Astyanax mexicanus: one gene and its partner. The protein of the gene in region 1 binds, or shares a complex with, the protein of each later gene. Links are inferred from orthologs where the notes say so. Each region holds a gene or a part of one and is shown on either strand. Other genes may lie near its edges.

Region 1 (11,611 bases):
TACACTCGATCTTTAATATGAATTTGAAAATTCACAATCAAATATCTCACTCATCACTCACTCATCAATTGGTAATAAAAACATTCCAATTGGTCTTCACACTGTTGCATGTTTTGGGCCCTTGAGATCTCTCATTTTTTCCCCCACGTTTTATCTTTTAGCAATTAACCCACCCACTCACTCAATATGACTCAAACTATGTATCAAACAGCCACCAATATAACATCAACAAGCACCCAACTCATGCAGAGAAAAGTGCCAGATTCCCAGCTCTGATACATCAGCCAGCAGAGGCCTGTGCTGACCAGCTTCACAACAGGAGTGATAAGGGAAGAAATTACCATCTACCCCCTCAGAGAGAGGCTACAGATGGCAAAGTCCTTACTCGCTGGTCATATGTGTAATGTGAAATTGGGGCAAACATTTGTTCACTGCACAGTATGTTCTTTATGTAATGAAACATCTAGTTCCACAGGTAATCTAAGGTGAACCTCCACCTTCCTCCACCCACCTTGGTGGTGGAGTCTTTGTCCTGTGTGCTCTGACTGAGAAGGTTTCCAGCCAGCAGAACATGAGAGATGGAAGCTGCCCCGCTCTGCTCTCCCAGATCCCCAAGGTGACCTGTGACCATGTCAATCAGCAGCTGCAGTCCCAGCATGCTGTCTGCTCCACTACCACCCAATCCCAGGCCAGAAGCCAGGAGCACAAACCTGCAGTTACAGTGGAAACAGAATAATGGGTCAGAGGGGTGTGTAGAAAAGCTCTTCATATATAGACCTTGATCAAATGTTATTCCCTTAATGTGGTATTGGTTTTGATGTTCTAACTGATAGATGCATTACATAAATATAAAAGTGCATTTATTTTTATTGTGTGCAAAGGTTTATTTATTTTTCCCAATTTAAAAATAAGTGTAAAAGCTGACTGGGTTACCGATCTGAGTTCAGAGGCTCTCTGGGAGCTTGTGGAGGAAGGTCAGCGAAGCAGTAATCCTCTACTGTAAATTTACCATCATTCTTCTCTGCGCCCATAATCGCAATCACACTCCCTGTGGACCAATAAAACAGATTATCAAAGCAGATCTAATACATTTTGTGAAATCTTAAGTAAATGAACCAAACTGAGACCATCCAGTCAACACATTACAAACTCAAATGTATGTTATATATTACTACCGGTATAAGGGTTATAAAAAAAAAACAAAAAACCCCTCATTTTTACCAGTAACAAACTTGGCTGTTTCGATTTTGCCCTCCAGTTTGATCCTCTGCAGCTCATCCTCTAGAATCAGCTCGTCTGACTGGCTGATGTATTTGGCACGAGGCGGCTGGGGCAGCAGGTTGTGCTGAGGTAATCAAAAGAAATGATAAAGAAGAAAGTTAAAAAAAAAAAGTAAAGAAAAGAAATATTCCAAATGATCACAAACAGAACATAAAAGTTTACATTAACAGCATTCCAACCCCCAAAGAAGGTTATCTACAAAAAACATTTTTGACATAAATCTGGCAGTTTAAGTTCAAGGCTTGGCCAATACAAATGCTCCAAAATTTGTGATATCTTTTTAAATAGATTCCCATTTCTTTTTGCAGCAAAAGTGCTGTTTTTGAGACATCCAATGATGATTGATGGGTTGGTTTATTTTCTGGACTACCTCCTCGCTGATCTCCTTCAGTATGGACGGCTGCAGCTCCATGTGCTTGAATATGGTGCCCACGATCACACACTGTTCACCCATCTGCAGATCACAGAGCTTCTTGATTGGTATGTCAGTACCTGAAAAAACATGAAACATCGAGTTAATAACAGGAACCTGATTACCCAGGAAAGACATCAGCATCACTAGCCAAACACAGCAGCAGGCAGACATCTTCCTGTTTCATTTTTTCCTTTGTTGTTGGGCTCCATAATTTCGCAATGCATGGGACACAGACTGAGTCTCGGTACTGAGGAATAAAAACAAAATCCAGATATAAACATGGAATATGCACGGTAATACACAAAAATCTCAGAGCTAAGTAAAACTAACATCATTCCAATACAGATCATTTAACTCAGGATTAATTAAGGACAGAAAATAAATATTATAAAAAGGTATATACATGCCAATCCAGGCTGACTTTCCAGTCCACAAGCGTTATCTTGCATGATTCAAAAAAGGCTTTGTAGAAGACATATTGTACTAGCCTGTGCTTCTTAAATATTAACTGCACTAATATATTAATGGACACCATATATTTAAGCCACTTTTCCTTGAGTACATTTTACTTGAAACAAACAAAAACATTAAAAACTCACCAGTGCAAATATCAAATGTATATCAAAATATCAACTGCATGTGTGTAAACCATGTGACTTTTTAAAGAAGAATTTATTTAAGGGTATTTAAATGTAAAAAAAAAATAATAATAATAATAATAATTTCTGTTAGATTGGATAAAATAATTATATTAGTATCAGTGGTATTTAAAAATAAAATCACCACAATATTCAAAATCATGATTTATTCTTTAAAATGGGGATAGTTTCCTGTATTTCTGGGAGGGAAACAGTGATAATAGTGTAGTGTGGATTAGGGAGAGCGGCTGAGAGTCTTCAGCAGAGCGATGCTGTGTCCATTATTTGGAGAAAAATAAAGTGTGGATAAAAGTGGAGTATGGCTTTATAGAGGTAGCTTGCTGGATTAGCCTCATTGCTTACTAGCTAGCAAGAAAGTATTATCATGGCTAATATAGAAGGGAACCCAGCCTCTCCTGGTCAGATAACTTATAAATCAATCAATCAGTGTTAAAAAGCATTAGACTTCCACATATGTCTAATATAATTAGCTGAATAGCCCCAGCAGCAGTGGAAGTAGGTAGAAAATTCATAGTTAGAGTTCATATAAACTTTAATGTAAACCTGGTGTCCCAGGTAGTTGCTCAGGTTTTGTAACGTCATCATTGTTTTAACCTTGTTAATAATACTAAAAGTAATAATAAATTAATAATAATAACAATAATAAATGATCAGACATCCCAAGTTGCAACAATTAATTTCAGTGAGGTACCCCAGACCCGAACTTCCCCCCAACCACCCCACAAACAAAACAAAAAAACAAAAACAAGAACTAGCGCACTCACAAAGCATACCAAAGGATCATAGAACTTTTATATATGGTCACATTTAACTTACCTCAACATGCCTTTTGCAATCATTTAGTCCTCATGGTCAACACTAAAATTACTATTACAAACTGTACAGCGGGCAAGACTTTCACTGTTTTTACCAGACATGGATATGCTTTAAAGTAGTCAGAGGTAAAATGAGTTTTGATGGGAGCCACGATGCTCCTGAACGCATCCCGTCCAGGAGGAAAAAAAAAAAAAAACACTGCCCGCCCACACTAAAAACTGACTGGCTGACCCAGAGACTCTTTGCAAAGAACAGGCCAATCAGAACACTCTCTGTTTTGCATGCACTTTATGTGTTCACTCTTGGGCCACTCGTTCTAGATTCCGGGAGATTTTATCTGACTTGCGGGCATCAGGGAGCCGTTATGGATATGATATCAATTGTAGACTCCCGCAACTTCCGGGAGACTTGGGTAATCTGTAATAATTATATTGTATTCGATATTAGTTTATAGGTGCTTTGGCTCCTAGAATCCATCATAAGGTATTTACAGATTCTTCTGTATTTCCAAAGCGCTGCCCCACTGTAACCAGTACACCCAGAATTCTCACCCCACTTCTGCTCGGCTCTGTCCTTCAGGATGCCGCGCATCTGCATCAGTCTGGCGGCGTACATGTGCGCGTACTGCCGCTGGAAGCTGCGCTCCCCCAGCCCGAAGCCCTCACTGCAGCCGCTGTACGTGCGCTCATCCCGGGAGAACACCGGCCTCTCCGTTCCTGGAGGAGCCAGCAGGGTCTCCTTCTGCTCCGTAATATCCGAGAACATGACCGAAAACTGCGGAGAGGAAATAATATATACACAATAAACAAACAAACCCAGAGCCTTCAGACCCACACACACCTAAACCCAGAGCCTTCAGATACACAGTGAGTACACGAGCTCGCTCTCTAACCCTCATTCTTACCGGTTTCGGGGTTCAGGACTCTCTTGTACAGTGGGTTAGGTCCTTTACTGTAAAAGTGCTGACAGTTTATAGGACACACACACAGCTATAAATTAATAAATAAACATAAACAAACAGAGAAACACAAACACACGGCAACTTCAGGATCTCCCGCTAAATATCGCACCGCCTCAGGATGTGACAACATTACTACAAAGCGCTGCCTTCATAATAAAAGTCACGAAAAGGAAAAAAAGAAACGATTTTCGCCCATTCTTATAATATATTCTTAGAAATTCAACCTTCTGATATATAAAAATATATTGAGAAAAGGACTTAGCTCTTTAAAGACACAACCACAAAATATTTGCTAAAATTCTTTTGTTTTTAAACCGTATATAATAAAATATTAATACAGAAAGAAAACAAATAACGCTTCACATGCAGGACTTTTATGGATCATACTTGATACATTAGAATTTGAAGTTTTCTTTCGCAAAAGCAGGTATGTGCTCCACTTTAAACACACCTTTATCTGTTTTTGCAACAGATAATCCATCAGGGGGCAGAAAACATGTGTCTGATTTTATTTTTGTATTAAATGTATTAATAATTATTTAACTTATATTCGTGTTATTGCTTAGATATGAGTAAAACAAACGTGCATTGTATATGGAATAAACATGCTTACATAAATGTTGTCAAGCGACATCATTTTTTTTATTTATTTGCTTGTTTGTTTACACTTACATACTCAAAAATGCAATGCTGACCGATAAATAAGGACCTTGCAATGTATAACATAGCATACATATGTCCTCAATAAATTTAATACTGTTCAAATAAATTGTCTATAATTGCATGCATCTAAAACTTGACTTTTTCCACTTTAATTTAAAAAAATGATTTGGATAAAAATGCTAAACGGAAAAATAAAAAATTAATGCCCTTCTTATTTTAGGTTATATTTAGCTTTGTTGGTGTGTCTGCCTGGATGTAAAAAATATTCAGTACTCAACATAAATTTAAAATTGCAGTAATTTTTTCTAAGTAAAATTAACAAATATATTTAGAGTATTTAATTTATTGCAATGGTGAAAAAAGTGGAAAAGTTATTACACTCTGCAAAAGAGTTTATTTGGTGTATTACTACCATTTAAATATCACGTTTCATTCAGCAAATATTTAATATCTGATACCAGACATATGCAGTAGTGGTGGCTCAGTAAGAGCTCTGGATTATTTAGTGTTGTTGGTTTCCTATGAACAAATTCCCTTATTCCACTCCAGGGGGCGCTGTAGCACATCTCACCTCAGCCTTGTCAAACTGGACTAAGACAATTGTGTTTTCCTGTACATATAAATGACAAATGCTTCGTTTTCTGATGCAATAGCTAGAGGTTTAATGCCAAAAAAAACACATTATTTAAGGTTTTTCCTTAAATTTATTTGATTCTGCTTTGTAATAACATTTTCATTTTTTTCATTTCAGAATCTCACAAAAGCAGTGTTTTAGATCTGAAAGGTGAAACATAAGCCTAGTATCAGCCAAAACAGTAAAACATACTTAACTACACAAGATAAATGCCTAACACTATAGACATTTCATACAAGAGTGTGACAGTTCCAAGGAATCCAGCTTGTTGATAACAGTATAAACTACCAAGCAAAAACTGCAGCAATTTCTACATATGAATCTTCTAAACAGGGATGGTAATAGAGCTGAGCAGTAGGAGGAGTTTCGAGAGTATAAACTACTTCTTCCTTCCTCCTCTCTCCTTGAGGGCGAGATGAATAACAGAGCCGTTGTTCATGTTGTAGTAAGCCAGAGAGTTTGAGTCCTTGATGAAAATACCCTGCAGACGAAAGATACAGTTTCAATTAGCAGAGAGAATTTAATTATGTTTAATAAATAATGATAATTTTTTGATAGTCACACAGGTCATGCAAGCACAGTAAAATAAAATAGATTAAAGGGCTGTTTTATTTTCTCCTCTGGGGACTGAATTACTGATTGATGCATACTTGTAATTTTGTATGATTTTAGGAAAAAATGAGTCATAACTTATTTTTATTCGTATACAATCTTTTCCCAGCTTATTTTTAGCTCAGAAATCCACTCGATATATGGAAATGTAATATAAAAAGTGTGTACTGGTTGGCAAACTGTTTTGTGCAGCCGAATTCCCTTGTATGGATTAAGAAGTGATCTGCGTTTTTTGAAAATTGTTATAATTTACCTCATATTGAAGTTTCTGTTTGCCTGCAGGCATTCCAGTGGCTTCATGGATCTTAACCTTGATAACAGACACCTAAAAAAAAAAGAGAAATACTTGTGAATAGGAACAATGTGAAGAGAATGATTTTATTTAAACACATAAAAAAAAAAATAAAAGAATAAATACTAACTTTATTATTTAAACATGTTTAAGGTTAATAATCAATTCAAAAAGAGAGAAATATATCCTCTGTGTTAAATGATTAGTCAGTGCACTGTTGGCGGGCCTCTTTACCTGGTCTGTTAGAGGCATGGTGAAGTTGAGCACTTGTCCATTCAGCTTCCATTCGGTCTTGTCCTGCATGTTGGGTACCTGAACTTTGACTGCCACGGGACCCTGAAAGGCATAAAATCTTACAATTAGTGAGAAACTCAAAGAATGTATCACAACACCCACTTTTTCATCCCTGTTGTCATGACATACACAAAGTCTACATAAAAAGTGAGCTAGTCACAATAATTTAATAATGAAACTTTAATTTTTATTACAATGAACCTTCTTAAACCCCAATGTTAAAAACAACATTGTGTGCAGTGCACTAAAAAATAAATGTGAAAGTTTCTTAATATATATAAGATAAGATACCCTGGTCACAGTTTACAGCCCTGCAGTACTCCTGTGTGTGCACAGCGGTGCTTGGAAGTTTGTGAACCCTTTCCAATTTTCTATATTTTTGCATAAATATGGCCTAAAACTTCAAAAATATTTGACTTGCTCATTTATTTATTGAAAATTATACACTATTACATAGTTGTGAGTGGCAAAAAATGTGGTGACCATAATTAGGAGAATCAGTACCATGTTTGCCTCGCATCTCTGTGGCATTTGTCTCCAGTCAAGCTTGGTGATCAAAATTGGCCCCAAAAACATTGATTGGTCAATCTCTATTAATATTGTATTATTTTTCACAATAAATAAATTGCCAAGTATAATATTTTTGTCTCATTTGTTTAACTAGATTCTCTTAATATACTTTTAGGAAATCAGCACCTTCCACAACATTTTGACTGAATTATGGTCAGGACTGTGACTTGACTGAAAACATCCAATATAATTTTTAAATGAAAAGTTCACATCATTTTGTCATTCACAAATATGTAATATTGGATCATTTTGCTTAATAAATAAATGACAAAGTAAAATATAAACAAAAAATCTCATTTGTTTAACTAGGTTCTCTTTATGTACTGCTAGTAATATAATCTGATAATGTTTTAGGTCATATTTATATTCTAAAGGGTTTACAAACTGATAAAAAGCACTGTATATCCTACTAGTACACACAGCACCTTGTTTCTGCGCAGGAATTCCTCTTCGGGTATCAGGTTGTCCTCTGTCTTCATCTTCTTGTTGACTGGCTCGTCCTCGTGGGGAGGTGGAGGGTGAGCAGGTGGCATTGGGGCTGGAGCTGCACTGGGAGGCTGTGGCACTGGAGGGGCTGGAACAAATGCTAGAGGGAGAAACAAAAGACCTTCAGTATCTATTCTTCAAGAAGCATCTTGGCCTCTTAACTGTTCCTGTAATAATTGCTGACCGAAGCAACAGATGTTAACACTGTCCTCTTACCTGCAGGGACCACCATAGGTGGAGGTCTTGGAGCCATGATGTGTGGAGCTGTGGGAGGCATGGGCACCACATTGATGCGTGGCGCGTGTACCATGGGTGGCATGGGGGTCAGCACCTGCCCAGGGGCCAAACGCACCACAGGAGCCATCGGGGGCCGTGGAATAACGGGCACAGCAGACAGCAGAGTGGTCCGGACTGGGGGTGGAACCTGTAAACCAGAACAAACAAACACAAAAAATAACAGTTAAATCCTATTCATATTATATGATTTATATCACCTTTTTAAACTCCAGAAGGCGCACTGACCACAGGTGGGGGCTTAGGCATGGTGCTGATTGGTGGGCTGGGTTTGGGTAAATTGGCCACAGAGGATGGCATTGGAGGCTGGGGCAGCTCATTAGGTTTGCTGGGTCCAATCTTCTCCTTGGTGTCATCCTCCTGCACCAGACCCTTGGCTTTGTGGATGGCTTCGATCTGCTCCTGCAGGGTGATGTTAGCTTGGGCGGCCTGCTGAGTACGAGCCATACTGCCAGAGTGACCGTCCCATGTCACCTGGAGACAGAATGGGACAGAAAAACAGACATATTAAAGAATGAACATTTATTGCAGTTTAAATATGTGCATTATTCTGCAAAACATTCCTGTCAGACTGGAGTCCACACTGCAGATTTCTACTGGATTACCTTCAATCAACAGTTACTACTCTCAGAATGCAAACACTGCAGATCTATACTGTAATGGATTTCTTACATTACTGTAAGAATCCAGTTCCTATTAGGGCTGTGTGTGGTCAAGAAATTTTGCTATACAACACGCATCATAGTAAAGGGTTTACAATAACACATTGCGATGCTCTAAGCAAGGCGATATATATAGACCATTTTACACTTTCCATATGTTTGGTAATACGGAAGCATAAACAGTAGCTGTTTCCAGTTGTATTCTAATTAATGGCTGAAGCTAATGGCTGAAGCTAATACACCAATAATTTCCCAATAACAAAAAACAAAAAAAACTCCCGTTGAATTACGTGTCATTTAAAAGAGGAAATCAACAAATGAGAGGTTAACCTAACCGGAGTGACCCATGATTCAGCCCTGCGTTCATCCCAAAACAGTTTGAAACTAAATACCATGTACAAAACAATAATTAAAAACTCTTACCTCAACATCAAAATTAGTTACCTCAGCATTAATTTAGATTATCATCAGTAATGGCTCCCTGAACAGTGTTTTGGAGACTAGTTTAATGTAGAAAAAAGATGCTGTGGGACTAAGTGAGGAACTTGACTTTTTTCTACTCCAAAATGAAGCACAGTTAGTGTTATTTTATTCTGTCTGTTAAAGATGTTTGGGGAAAACTACAACCGATAAGCACCCTGTTCAACAGTGTAGGCAGAGGTTTGATACCGCTACTATTCAGAGCCAGACGTAACGCCATATCGGCTGTGAAAAAGGTATGATTTAATTGTATGAGATGTTAAAGAATAAAAACAACATGGCTATCTAGTGGGTAGGGATTTAAAAACAACATGCAATGTACCATCTTAAACTAATCACTTAAAAACAGTTGTTTTTTAGTCTCCCTCACTAACCTTCTCCTCTGGTTTCTGGATCTCTTCCTCTCCGATCTTCTTTCCGATAGCCGTTTCCTCCACACCGAAAATATCGGTACGTCTCTCGGCGAGCTGCTTCAGGCTGCTCTCGATGTCCAGGCCGGGGGCGTACACTTCCTCCTCTATCTGCCGCTCGCGGATACTGCGGTCTCTCTGCTCCAGCCAGCGTGGGTCCAGCAGGCCGATACGCATGTGCTCTTGCATCTTACTGGCCAGAATCTTCTCACCGGTGATGGGAGAAATGAGGTACTCATCCGTAGTCTGGACAGGAGCCTGGGGCTTAGAAGCTGAAAAATAGGAGACCAAAAACAAAAATAAAATGTGTCCAGAATAAAGAACAATTAATAATTAAGGCATCAGATGAAATTAAATCTAAATGCAGACAGCTCATGAAATAACTACAAATAGAGAAATACATTAGACAACATATTGCAGTTATTGTAATATAATTACAATACAAAAACTACATTGTAAAATGTATTATCATATAAAATAATTACCAATATAGCCACACAGAAATTTATTTCAGCATTGTTTCACACAAAAAAAAATAAAAAATATAAAATGGGGTCTCACCCTTGGGGTCATAGTCTTTCCGGATGATGACCTGGTCTGGGGTCGGTGGCAGTGGAGGGGGCATAGGATTATCAGGGGGAAGAGGAATCTTCATTCCATCTTCATCATCATCAGAACCCTGTGAGACATAAAAGACAGTCCTAAATTCCAATGTTTGAATAATTGCAGATATTTGTTTGTCAAACATTTCAAATAATAAACTGAGTCTTGTGTCTCGAGGAAGACTGTGCTAGTCTTAACTCTCTCAGCCCTATTCCTTTATCGAAGAAACTGATAATTACTAAACTGATAGCACTCTCACCTCATCCATATCTTGTAGCTGTGTATCCTGATCAGGCTGAGCTGCACGACCATCATCTCGGTTCTCACGCTCGTCATCCTCATCCTCACTCTCCACCTCCATCTCCACTTCCTCACTCTCTCCGTACTTCTCATAGCGCTCCTGGATCAGGATGCGAGCACCCAGTTCCTCAGGAGTAGTGGGAGGAGGGAAGTTACCTATGGGCAGAGTTATTAACACATTCAGACCAGGCAGAGCGACATAGTATAAATCTCTATTAATACAATAACATAGTGCTGGACGATATGGCCAAAATTTATATCACGATATATTCCTTAAATTTCGGTCGATACGATATAATTTCGATATCGATAAATACTTTGAAGGCCTCAGAAAAAGAATCCCTGCAATCTCTGCTGCTTGCACTGCAAATTTAAATTATTATTTAACTGTGTATTTGCACTTTTTGTATCAATCTATCTAATGGAAATCTGTACCTACTACTGTATGAAAATGTTTTTTAAGTCTTTGAAACCTCCTTTCACAAAAAACTTTAATACTTTAGAAATAAAAGTAGTCAAAATAAATCAATGCTCAATTTTATTTGCATATAGCAAAATAATAACATGACATCCCTGTCAAACATAAGCCTATATAACTATTACAAATAAAAATAACTTTAAATGACAACAGAGGCAGAGCTTCTTATTCATTGTAAACAAATTTAACAGATTAAAACAAAAGTGTTTTAACTAGGATATATAATACAAGAAGCCTTTATATACATAAAAGCAACAAGATTTTCCCGTCAAATAAACAAACCTATATGATTTTTCAACTATAAATAACTTAGTGACAACATAATCTATTAAAGTGCTTTAGTCAGAATACAAGAGGTATTCAACATGATATCCACGTCAAATAAACAAACCTAAAGGATTCATAAACTTTAAATAACTTAGTTTCAACATAATCTATTAAAGTGCTTTAGTCAGAATACAAGAGGTATTCAACATGATATCCACGTCAAATAAACAAACCTAAAGGATTCATAAACTTTAAATAACTTAGTTTCAACATAATCTATTAAAGTGCTTCAGTCAGTATAAGGAAAATATTGTATGTAGTGAAGATGCTTGAGGTGGTGGAACAGATTAGATGTGTTAACGTTACGCTGCTTGTCGGCTCCACTCACCGGCACAATTTGCAGCAAAGCGGCAAGCGAGCGGACCCGCGGCTGG
Region 2 (10,708 bases), on another chromosome or scaffold:
ATTTCCCAAAGAAGTTGTTCATAGCATTGGCTTTGGAAGATACCTTAGATTTAGGTCCTTCAGTCTGAAAAAAAACGATGATCATTTTTACAAAAACAGCAAAGTCTTCAAATTTCACAGCCAAAAAATAATACTTCACTAACTATGTAAAATTATCTTATGTAAGTGCTTTTTAAATGACAACAAATCATTTCAAATGTTAACTAGGGTATTTTTAATGCCCAAATAAAATCACACTTACTGGAGACGCCTCATCTTTCTGTTCCGTTTTCACTTCTTTGTTGCAGGCCTCACTTTTAGGAGCAGCTTTGCTGGAAAACATTCCCATAATGCCTTTAGGCTGTTTTACACTGGGTTTAGGAGCAGCTGCTGTGTGGTCATTCAGACTTGGTTTAGTAGCTTCTTTTTCCACAACCTTTTCCTGGACTTTCTGCAGCTCTGTGTGGGACAGCGGTACAGCGGCTGCACAGCGGATAGTGCTATACCTGCAAACAGTCAAACAAATTACTGAGAATGCCACCTGCTAACATAACATATAAATAAAACATTTCAAACTATTTTTTTCCATGCTATGTACATATCTGCTCACCAGTGACTTACAAAGATTGTCATTTTAACAGGTTTAACTGCAATCTGCACATGTGCCATTTTTTTGGTTTCTGTGCAAAACATGTTATAAGATACTTTACTGACCCTTTTTCACATTTTCAGCTCAGGGAGGAGTCAACTAAAATCAGGGGGTTTAGTGCACCTTTAGACAACAACGAATAACAAAATCTCAAACTTTCCCACAAATCAGTTCAATTTGTTTCACTTTGGGAAAGAAATAGCTTTTTGACAAAATGCTTAATTTGTGGGGAAAAATTACCACCTACTTCATTAGAATAAATTAAGATAAATTATAATATGTTTATTTCAATATTCCAACATTTGTGAGCAGAATAAGATTTAAACAAAATCATTAACAGGAATTAGAGGTGGATCTTTTAAAAAATGATTTTTCATTTAAAATCAGTGATTCATACAAACCTAAGATTAATCTTTAAAATTAGCCTATTTTTCATGTGCGTAAAAGTCATCTATTTGCAGAGTTCCAAAACATGCTTTAGCGTTAGAGAAGCTCAGCTAATATTAGCAAAAAGATTTAGTTTTCTCTCACTAAATGTTATAAGAGTCTACTAAACTACTAGACAAGATGCGTCTTATTTTTAGTAATTCACATTTAGCTAGCAAACAAGTTACTGACTTTTACATTCCACTTCAAATGCACTGGCAGTTACATTCAGAGTAAGAGAAAATTAATCCAAGCATTGATTAAATTCACTCTTTTCTTACACTGAAGTTCTGTAGAAGTAAATAAGCTGAATGCCTGATTACATTACATGGACACTCTTGTTATGATATGGACACATTGAATAACAAAAACAGAAATGCATCTTGCTTGGGTTAATTCTTCAGGTAAACACTTATAATTTTAATAATGGTAGATTGGTTGTCCCTTATACAATTATAACATTAGTTCTCTGAAAGTCTCTTTCAAATCTGAACAAAAACAATACACTATAACATTCCTAAAATACATTGTACTGAATTAAACCAAATCAAATTGGGACCTTGTGAATTGGAATTGATTGATTGATTCTAACAGGCCCTAAAAGGAATGTTGTCATAATCCCCATAATATGCATGGAAACAGATCTTAAATCCCATACTTGTTGCAGTTTTTCAGGTTCTCTTTCACAGCATCATAGTCTGTACTGTAGAGTGGGCCGCTATCCTTCAGCTCAGCCTTCTGGACACTGTACACATGAACACTAATGGTTTTATCCAGCTTGGACTTCGTATCTAGAACAGATAAGAACATAAGAGAGGAACGGTGTAAAGATCTACTCAAATTTAAATTGAATTGTGTAGGTTGAACATTATACATGTTAATTTTTTTCTCTGAAACATCAGAAAAGATAATCATACCATCAAGCTGATCTTCACGCACCACGGACACCTTATGACACTAAAAGGAATAACAGAAAATATTTCAGGTAATAAAAGAGAAAACATTTAGGTATTCAGAAAAGGTATTTAGGTATTCAGGTGTTCTAGATCACATTATATTGTGGAAGACAAGCCAATGTTGGTCGGTCTCATGTAATTCTAATAACCTCTTATTTTTAAATGCATAAAGGAGGTTAAAATAGGTTTTTAACCTGGGGGTCCTGATACACAATAGAGCGATGCTAATAATCAAGGGAGTTTTCTAGGGATGAACGATGATATTGGAAATATATCAGCATCAGCCGATAATTGCTTTTTTTAAGAATCTTTGGTACCGGCCAATGTGTAGAATTGGTAGATATTTCACAACGAAACTGGCCGACATTTTTATTGTATGTAGAAAAAGGACCAAGTAACACTGGCCTAGCAACTTTAAAATCTAAATAAACTGATTTAAGTTAATTTTGATTTATTTTTATTTGTTTCAATAAATATATGGTTTTATTTAACATGTTCATTTAGAGGGTATAAAGCTGTGAACGGTCTATGTAATATATATAATAAATAAATGTGAGGGGGGAGAAAAAAAAAAATAACATATTTAAGCAGGAGACACCTCAGGTTCAATTCCAGGTCTGGGTGTCTGGATGCTATGCTACACCAATTAAAGACCTTGGGCGAGACTCCTAACACTACACTGGACCACCTCTGTAATAGGACTAATTTTGTAAGTCGCTCTGAATAAGAGAATCAGTTAAATGCAGTAAATGTAAATAATGTGCAGTAACTTTTTGTTCCTGTGAATCAGGATTTTCTGCACTAAAGCATCTTTGAAACACAAATACAGATACTGCAAAACAGTAAAAAAATGATTTGCTAAATCACGTGGAACATCTTTGTTTACAGTAATAAACTCTGCATAAAAGAATCCTGGTCTCCATACTCACCACACTCCCATTCTCACTGCACTTTCCGGATACAAGGTAGGTGGCATGCAGTGTGGTTCCAGACCTCTCCTTGCGTCTCTGGTCTAAGTAGTGATAAAGCATCCTGCAATACATGAAAAAAAAGCTATGTCTGTCGGCCCACCTCAAACAGCCTTTACTAAAAATAAATAATAGTATAGCCATATACTTACTGTTTAGCCGTGTTGACATGGACTCCCAGAGTAAGACTGAGCCATTTATATGTGACCTGTGAATATAAAAGAGGAAAATCCATCAAATATAGCAAAACTATTTTTCACAACACATTTTTTTTTTTTACTTTATTGTTTAAAACTGACCAAGATTTGAAATTAGCTATTTTTAATGAAGCTTGTCCAAAGAGGAGCATTTCAAGTCACTTTCAAAACAAACGTAGCACAATGCCAGAGAAATGTAGGAGATTCCAGCTGACTTAACCGGAATCTCTAGCATTTCTTTATGTTTGAAAGCCCGAAACTGCAGAGATTAAGCTAGAGATTTGTTGCTTTTTGCAAGTACCAGGATGAAAAAGTGTTTCTAAGATTCAAATCTGAATTTGATTAACTGCATTTACATAATGAGCGGCATGCTTTCTTATTTTAATTTCCCATGTTCCATGTTCTGTGTATTATAGCTTGATTTTATATCCAGTTTAAAACGTATGATTTTATGGTGTGGGATTAAAATAAGCACTCTATCAGCCCAAGGTTATGTTAAAGATGTGCTTTATTCCAGCAGGTCAATGCTCGTCCACACACTGCTGCTTACAGAGGTTTTTTCCTACATAGTAAATGAATAGTGAAGTGATCCAGACTATAAAGCAACACATAATTAATTGTGTAGTAACTTAACTAAAACGTGTTAAACTAATCAGGATACTCCCTCTTGTTTATTACTGCTTAAATGTAACGTTACTCTCTTCAAAAATATATGGAAGCTTGGTTATGCTTAATGTATTATTATTTCTGTATTGTTATGGTTATGTCAGGTGCACTTAATGTTCTTAAAAGGACAATAACATTGTTTGTCGCATTAAAACAGCTTTAGAAGCTTATCTAGCCAAGTAGCCAGTAGGGGTGGGCAATATTATATCGTATACAATATATCGTGACAGAAATATCATGATATTAAAAATCCATGTCATGATAATAGGGCTGTTCTGTCTTAAAAGTAGTCTATTATTTACTGTGAAGCTTTAGGTGTATTTATTGTATAATTGTTTTAGTTTGCAGTTTATATGCATGCACTAAATATTCTGCAATATTATTTGATGCATTATATTATTTTATGCTATATTATTTATTTTGCCACATTATGATTATTCTGTTATACTCTTATTCTATATTCCTGAAATTAATAAATTATTTTAGTTTTCCTATATAGCCCAAGTATATCGTTATCGCAAAAATACCCTGAAATATCGTGATATTATTTTAGAGCCATATCGCCCACCCCTAGTAGCCAGCTTGTATAATGGCATTTGGTAAACTTAGATAATCTGGAAACCTTCATGTACTTAGCTTAGCTTGCAAAGACTGGACTTTTCAGCAGGAAAATATGCTAAGCTAACATAGCTAGCTAACTAACTAACTATAGGTAACCTAGGTTACTAACATAGCTTAGCTAAAGCTAGCTAGTCAATCACATTGAATAGTGGGTCCAGTGATAACACCAGCTAATGCAAGCTAAATTAGCTAGGTTAACCGTATTTTTGCAGGAAAATAAAAAAAGCAGTTTTCCGTAGTGTTAAACTAATAAAACACCCACACAACCCACCACCTCCAGCTCTAAACCAATACTGAACACTGATCATGCAGCGTTCCCCAACCCACACCCCAGAGCTCACAGCTATTAAACAGACACAATCAACCAAGCAGCGCCCACTGCCCTCAAACACAGCGCTCTCCTGAACATCAGACACTTACTATCTTATTCTGATCGTTCACATATTCGTCTATGTTGTCTAAATACAGATCGTCCATCGCAGCGATAATCTGAAGCAGCTCCACTCTGCAGCTCCGAAACGCGGGAAACTTTATTTACTTCCTGTCATGTGCGCGCGGACGGGAAGGGGTGCGTTCACTGCCACCCGCGCTTCAGCGAGTTGTTATAAAAACAGACCGTCTCTGATTAACATTTAGGGCCTCAATAATTATAGAGAATTGGTATTAAGTACACTGCTAAACATAAACGTTTTTCTTGCAAAATAATGACTTACTACTATTACTCAAAATAATGAGATCTCAGAATAATTATTTACTATTTTAAATATAATGACTTACAATCTCAAAATATTAAGATTGTATCTCCAAAAAATAATGACTTAAAAATAGTGTCTCAAAATAATGACTTACTATTTCAAAATAATGAGATAGTAGCTCAAAATAATGAGATACAATCTCCAAATAATAATTTACTATTTTAAAAATAATGAATCTCAAAATAATAAGATAGTTTCTCCAAAAAATGACACAGTATCTCAAAATAATGACTATTTTAAAATAATTATATTATCTCAATATACTAAGATAGTATCTCAGAAAAATGAGATATCTCAAAAGAATGACTCAATATTTTAAAATTTAAAAATGAGATATTATCTCAAAATAATGATTTACTATCTCAAAATAATGAGATAGCAGGTTAAGTAAAAGTAAGAAAAAAATGTGCTGGATTTTTTTTTTTTAGGTGGCGGGAATGGGCTTCCATACCAAACACTTACATGTAATTTGAATAAAATATAGTAAAATCTATGAAGTTCATTTGTGCCACTTTTTACACAAAATGAAGCATTTTATTCATTTTTGCTATTTGCTATTGTCTGATCATCACTCTCAGGCATTTTAAGTGGGGATAAAATTAATTCTGAACATAGCAAAAATTTTAAAACCTTCTTATTACATATTTTTAGTGATAAACTTTCCTTCCCTATCCATTATATGTACAACTGACCAACATCCCTTTTCATACAGTGCTGAAAACATAATTTTGAAATCATTCTCCAGTTATAAACCTTTTAAACCTGCCCTCACTGTAACTCAAACTAAAATATATTTAAAGTTTTCTTTGCTTATTTAGTAAAATACATTGTAATACTTTATATAATTAAATGAATATCCTACACATGTGGATAGTAACTATTTTAAGTTTTAGCTCCTTTGACCCCCATTCATTTTGGACTTCTTGTGGCTCACAGTAATATTCTAATATAACAATGGAGAAAATAAAAAAAACAGTCAAGCAGAGAAATAAACATTTATGCCTTAAATATTTTATTTTATAAATCTGTATAATTAAAATTCATTTTTTTTATTTTGACATTTAAATCTGAATTTGATGAACTGAATTTAACCATTGGTGAAGCATTTTGTTCTTATTAAAAATTACATTAGATAGCTTTGAAATAAAACTGAATTAAACTTAGTCTTACATATACAATACTAATGATAATTGGCAATCAATTATATTTGCTTGTATAAACAGTCCTTTGCAATAATGATATATTACTTTAACAACACATTTCTTTATCCTGTATTGTGCAATACCAGCTTTTTGCCCTCAACTGAAAATATAAATATTTATTAGTAATTGATAAAATAATTGTCCTGTAAATTAAATTAAGCCAAAAAAAATAAAGTAGGCTTCACATTGGATCACTTTAATATATGTAGGGAGCAACTTGATTATTAAGAATATTTAACAGTAGATTACAACCTAAAACTACTACAATATAATATATATATAAAACAGTATGAGACTTTGTGAACATCATGAACAAGAAATCTCTGTCTCCTTAATTAACTTAATGAAAGTATTTATTAAACAGTATGAACAAAACAATTAAACAAATATCAGAAATGCTGTAAACCTGCATCATGTTTAATAATGCACAATATCACAACAAGCATTTGCAAATAATCACAAAAGCATCTATCTGAATAAGCTGGGGGTCGACAGTGGCCTGTAGATACAATCCCACACTGGACATCTCAGGCCTGATTAAATAGCAGTACTTCAAAACATGCAGGTTATTGGATTCACATGATGGGCGTCACTTCAGCAGATACACGCTGCTAGGATTTAGTTGATAGCATTCAGAGGAAGTGTGATACGCAGCATCTGGTGAAAAAAACAAAACATGTATTTACATATCTGTGCATTGTCTTATTCATTGCATAGTGCTCAGAAATATTGGTATTGCTTTTGACATTCAGTTCTGTATCCTGTTGTTATGTTGAAAAACCATATATTCCTACCATAAAGATGCGAATCAGATTAATAAATGGTTGCCTATGTAAAAGCTAAGCTATGAGTTGTGCCTTGTAAAGCTATATTTGTAGATGCTCAATTGAAATGTTGTATTGATCTTCTTCTCTCTACATGGATATTTAAGAAATTATGTTTGTGCTGAATTTTATAAAGCATTAGTCAAAGGTTTGGACACAACTCGTCTTATTCAATGTGTTTTCTTTCTTATTATGTTTTTTTTACATTGTAAATGTAATATTGAAAATATTAAAGCTCTACAGGAACACATGCTGAATTATTCTGTAAACAAAAAATGTAGCACATTTATCTTTAAGGACTGATCTGCACACTCTTGGTATTTTAATCTCAGTATCTTCATGAGGGAGAGTCACCTGGAATAGTTTTCTCAGCGTCTTGAAGGAAGGAGTTCCTGGAGGTGTTGTTTTATTTACTGTTTACTACGTAATTCCATTTGTGTCTCTTAATTGTTTTAATGTCTTTAATATTAATCTACAATGTAGAAAATAAATACATAAAAACACTGAATAAGAGGGTGATATGAATTAGAATATTAAAGTTTGATGTTGAACAAGGTCTATCTGAACTTGTATTAAATCTGTATTTAAGACTTTAAATTGAATCCAGGTGCAAATTAATCTAATGTAGAAAATTCAAATAATGCTGCACAACCCGTTTCAAACTTTTGGAGTTTTTAGTTTTAATTCCTCTGCATTGTGCTGCATGTGTTTGTCTCGTTTAAATGTTACATGTTAGAATTCTGTGAAAGTGACTTAAATAAAACTGAATTGAAATCTTTAGATAGATCTAGTCCAAAAACAACAACTTTTTTTTTACTTTTTTTAATAATTTAGATTTACAAACTTTTAATCCTATTGGTACAAAATTATTCCATAGGTATCCTAATGCATGGCATCCCCTTGTTCTGTATTTGAATAAACATTGATGAATATACAGATGTGTTTATATTTATTCTAATAAGAGACACACACTTTATTTTATTGTTTGTGTGCACACAGCATATGTTATGTTGATACCCTGGATTTGTAAAACTCAATAAAATAAAGTTACAAAAAAAACAAAAAATAGTAGTATTGTAAGTACTTATCATAACTAGGGTATATTTTATAACAGAGTGTTTTAACTCACAAAGAGCCCTTTCCACAGCCTAGTGGTCCGAAGTAGAGCTCTGAAGGCAGACATGTTCCTTGTCGGCAGACTCCGTTCAGGCTGGCACAGCTCCACGGGAAGGACGCCGCCTCATTCTCTTTACCTTCAAAAATAAAATGCAGTACTGTTTTGGTTCTGTACAGCTAAGACACAGCTTGAATTCATAATAATCATAATAGTAATTGTATTTATTTTTACATACAAAAAAAGATACTGTTTAACCATGCTAGAATAATTTGAATAAGCTGAAGATTAACCATATTCATCTTATCAATGACTTTATTACTGCAGTTCTTCACTTGTCAGACCTCTAATTCTTCTCTTCACTGCTAAAACTCAGTTCAATCATGTTAATCTGAGCTAAAGGATAAAGCTGTTTCCATGTGGGTCAGCCAGACGTCTTCCTGTAGCAGTTTTCTCCAGTTTACAAGAGTGTTTAGAAGGTGTAGGAAACAGTACTCACCGCTCTCTGGCTTCATCTGTAATTTCTCTAAAAAAAGACTTTTACTTTTAATAGTTACAAAGTTCTCTGTGTTTCTGTGTCTTTTTTGTGCTGTGTGCAAGTGTGTAAATGCTGCAGTAGAGACTAAGACTTATTAAATTTTGTTTCTATTGCTACCAGCCAACTGTAAGCTGTTAAACAATTACTTGTTTCCTAAAAAGCCACTTTCCTCTATTCTTGTTTTTTTTTTTTACAGTACACAAATTTTCCTGTTTTAAGTTATTTTTCCTCAAACACCCAGGCGTTTTACTGCTAACTTTTTAATGCTATTTAAGTTTACTACAATATTCAGGATATTCACTGGATCTGAAGAACTTTTGACCTGTAGTGTACTGGTATATGGACATGTCTATATGAGATAACATTGCATTGCATTGGTCAGTGTGTATTACTTGAAGCACTGACGAAATCCACAGTATACTTGTAAAGAAATGCGTTTATCATTATACAATAAAAGACACAATAAAATATTACCGTATTGCGCAGCTTCACCTACAAAACATAGTAAAAACATGATATACTCACAGTACAGAGCCAGGACAACCAGCAGGACCAGAACCAGTGCGCACTGAGGCTTCATGCTTGCTGTTGGTGTAGAAATCCTCTGAGGACCGTGACCATAACTGCAGTCAGACAGTTTTATTCTCAACGTATTTCAGCGGGAGGAGAGACTCTAGTGAGGTCACTCCATTTTGGACTATAAGTTGAAAATTGGATTATGTTGCTGCATGAATAGCAATACTGTTCCTAATCACATTTGGTGAGTGGTTATTCATGGCAGGGCAGGTCACGCAATGTGTGCTGCAGCCAATTACCACAGTGGAGAGAAAATAATGTTTTCACCTGATCTCGCACACATGCTTGTCCTGATGGGGACAATTTCCCTCTAAACATTTTCTGAATCCCAAAATGCAAAGGCCTTTCAGGGGAATGTGATATTAAGACCACTGCAGGGCCAAATGAATACTAAGTACCGATCTGTGCTGAAGCGAATAAAGTTTCTAGTTAGTCTGGTTACCGTTTTCTGTTTTTATTTGTGCTGTTGCTTAACCAGGTCCAGGAAATGCATGGAACAGAGCATACCAGCTAACTAGCTAAATGCTAAATTGAGAACTGTGTGTTTTTATACAGCTACCAGCCTCATCCTACATTACTACCAGAAGTCAAAGTCAAAGTGGTTTTTATTGTCATTTCAGCTACATACAGAGTACACAGTGAAACGAAACAACGTGCAACAGTACGGAACAATAGTGCAACAGTACAAAAGTGCAGACAGACAATACAAAACAATACAGACAAAGAATAATAAATAACAAGACAGTGTGCAAATTTTGCAGTGTGCACAAAAGACCAGGTGAGGTAGTAATTACTCTATTACACAGTGTGCAATAGAGTCCAGTGAGGTAGTAGGGTTTTTAGTGCTTTCCATTTTCTGGGGTAAGTGGGGTATACAATGCAGAATACAGCATTGTTAATGCTATGTTAGTACAGGACAATTTATACTTGCTATACCTATTATATTACTAGCAACCTATAATATATACTACCTATAATACTTCTATGTGTACCCTTCACGTAGCCACAGACCCTACGCCACACTCTATACCATAGCCCAACATGCACCTCCCAAGAAATGTGGACAAGGACACACAAACACAGAAGTATAAACACAATAGATCTTAATGTCGTTGTCCACTCTCATCCAACGTTACTAACAACACATTAGAAATTTTATTCAAAGTGCAAAAAAAAGCTGCTTTCCAAATGTTTGTGGTCAGCCATCCAAATTAGGGATGTGGCATATCATATTGTA

The links.
Region 2: pold2 (region 1) and pold3 share a complex: the UniProt entries of both Homo sapiens proteins name them as parts of the both the DNA polymerase delta and DNA polymerase zeta complex. The link is inferred for Astyanax mexicanus from reciprocal best matches to the Homo sapiens genes POLD2 and POLD3.

Annotation. Positions count from the first base shown.
Region 1 is NC_064419.1:31,901,733-31,913,343, reverse strand, and holds the start of pold2 (DNA polymerase delta subunit 2), read right to left. Parts: upstream 4,250-11,611; 5' UTR 4,076-4,249; intron 3,946-4,075; 5' UTR 3,937-3,945; coding exon 3,723-3,936; intron 1,774-3,722; coding exon 1,652-1,773; intron 1,346-1,651; coding exon 1,222-1,345; intron 1,049-1,221; coding exon 934-1,048; intron 711-933; coding exon 512-710; intron 1-511. Other genes in the region: sf3a1 (splicing factor 3A subunit 1), read right to left, coding at 5,809-5,910, 6,295-6,366, 6,568-6,669, 7,623-7,783, 7,900-8,107, 8,206-8,451, 9,494-9,801, 10,091-10,208 and 1 more. UniProt on the Homo sapiens protein: Accessory component of both the DNA polymerase delta complex and the DNA polymerase zeta complex.
Region 2 is NC_064424.1:5,730,113-5,740,820, reverse strand, and holds the start of pold3 (DNA polymerase delta subunit 3), read right to left. Parts: upstream 5,016-10,708; 5' UTR 4,940-5,015; coding exon 4,883-4,939; intron 3,187-4,882; coding exon 3,131-3,186; intron 3,043-3,130; coding exon 2,940-3,042; intron 2,012-2,939; coding exon 1,972-2,011; intron 1,846-1,971; coding exon 1,713-1,845; intron 486-1,712; coding exon 242-485; intron 65-241; coding exon 1-64. UniProt on the Homo sapiens protein: Accessory component of both the DNA polymerase delta complex and the DNA polymerase zeta complex.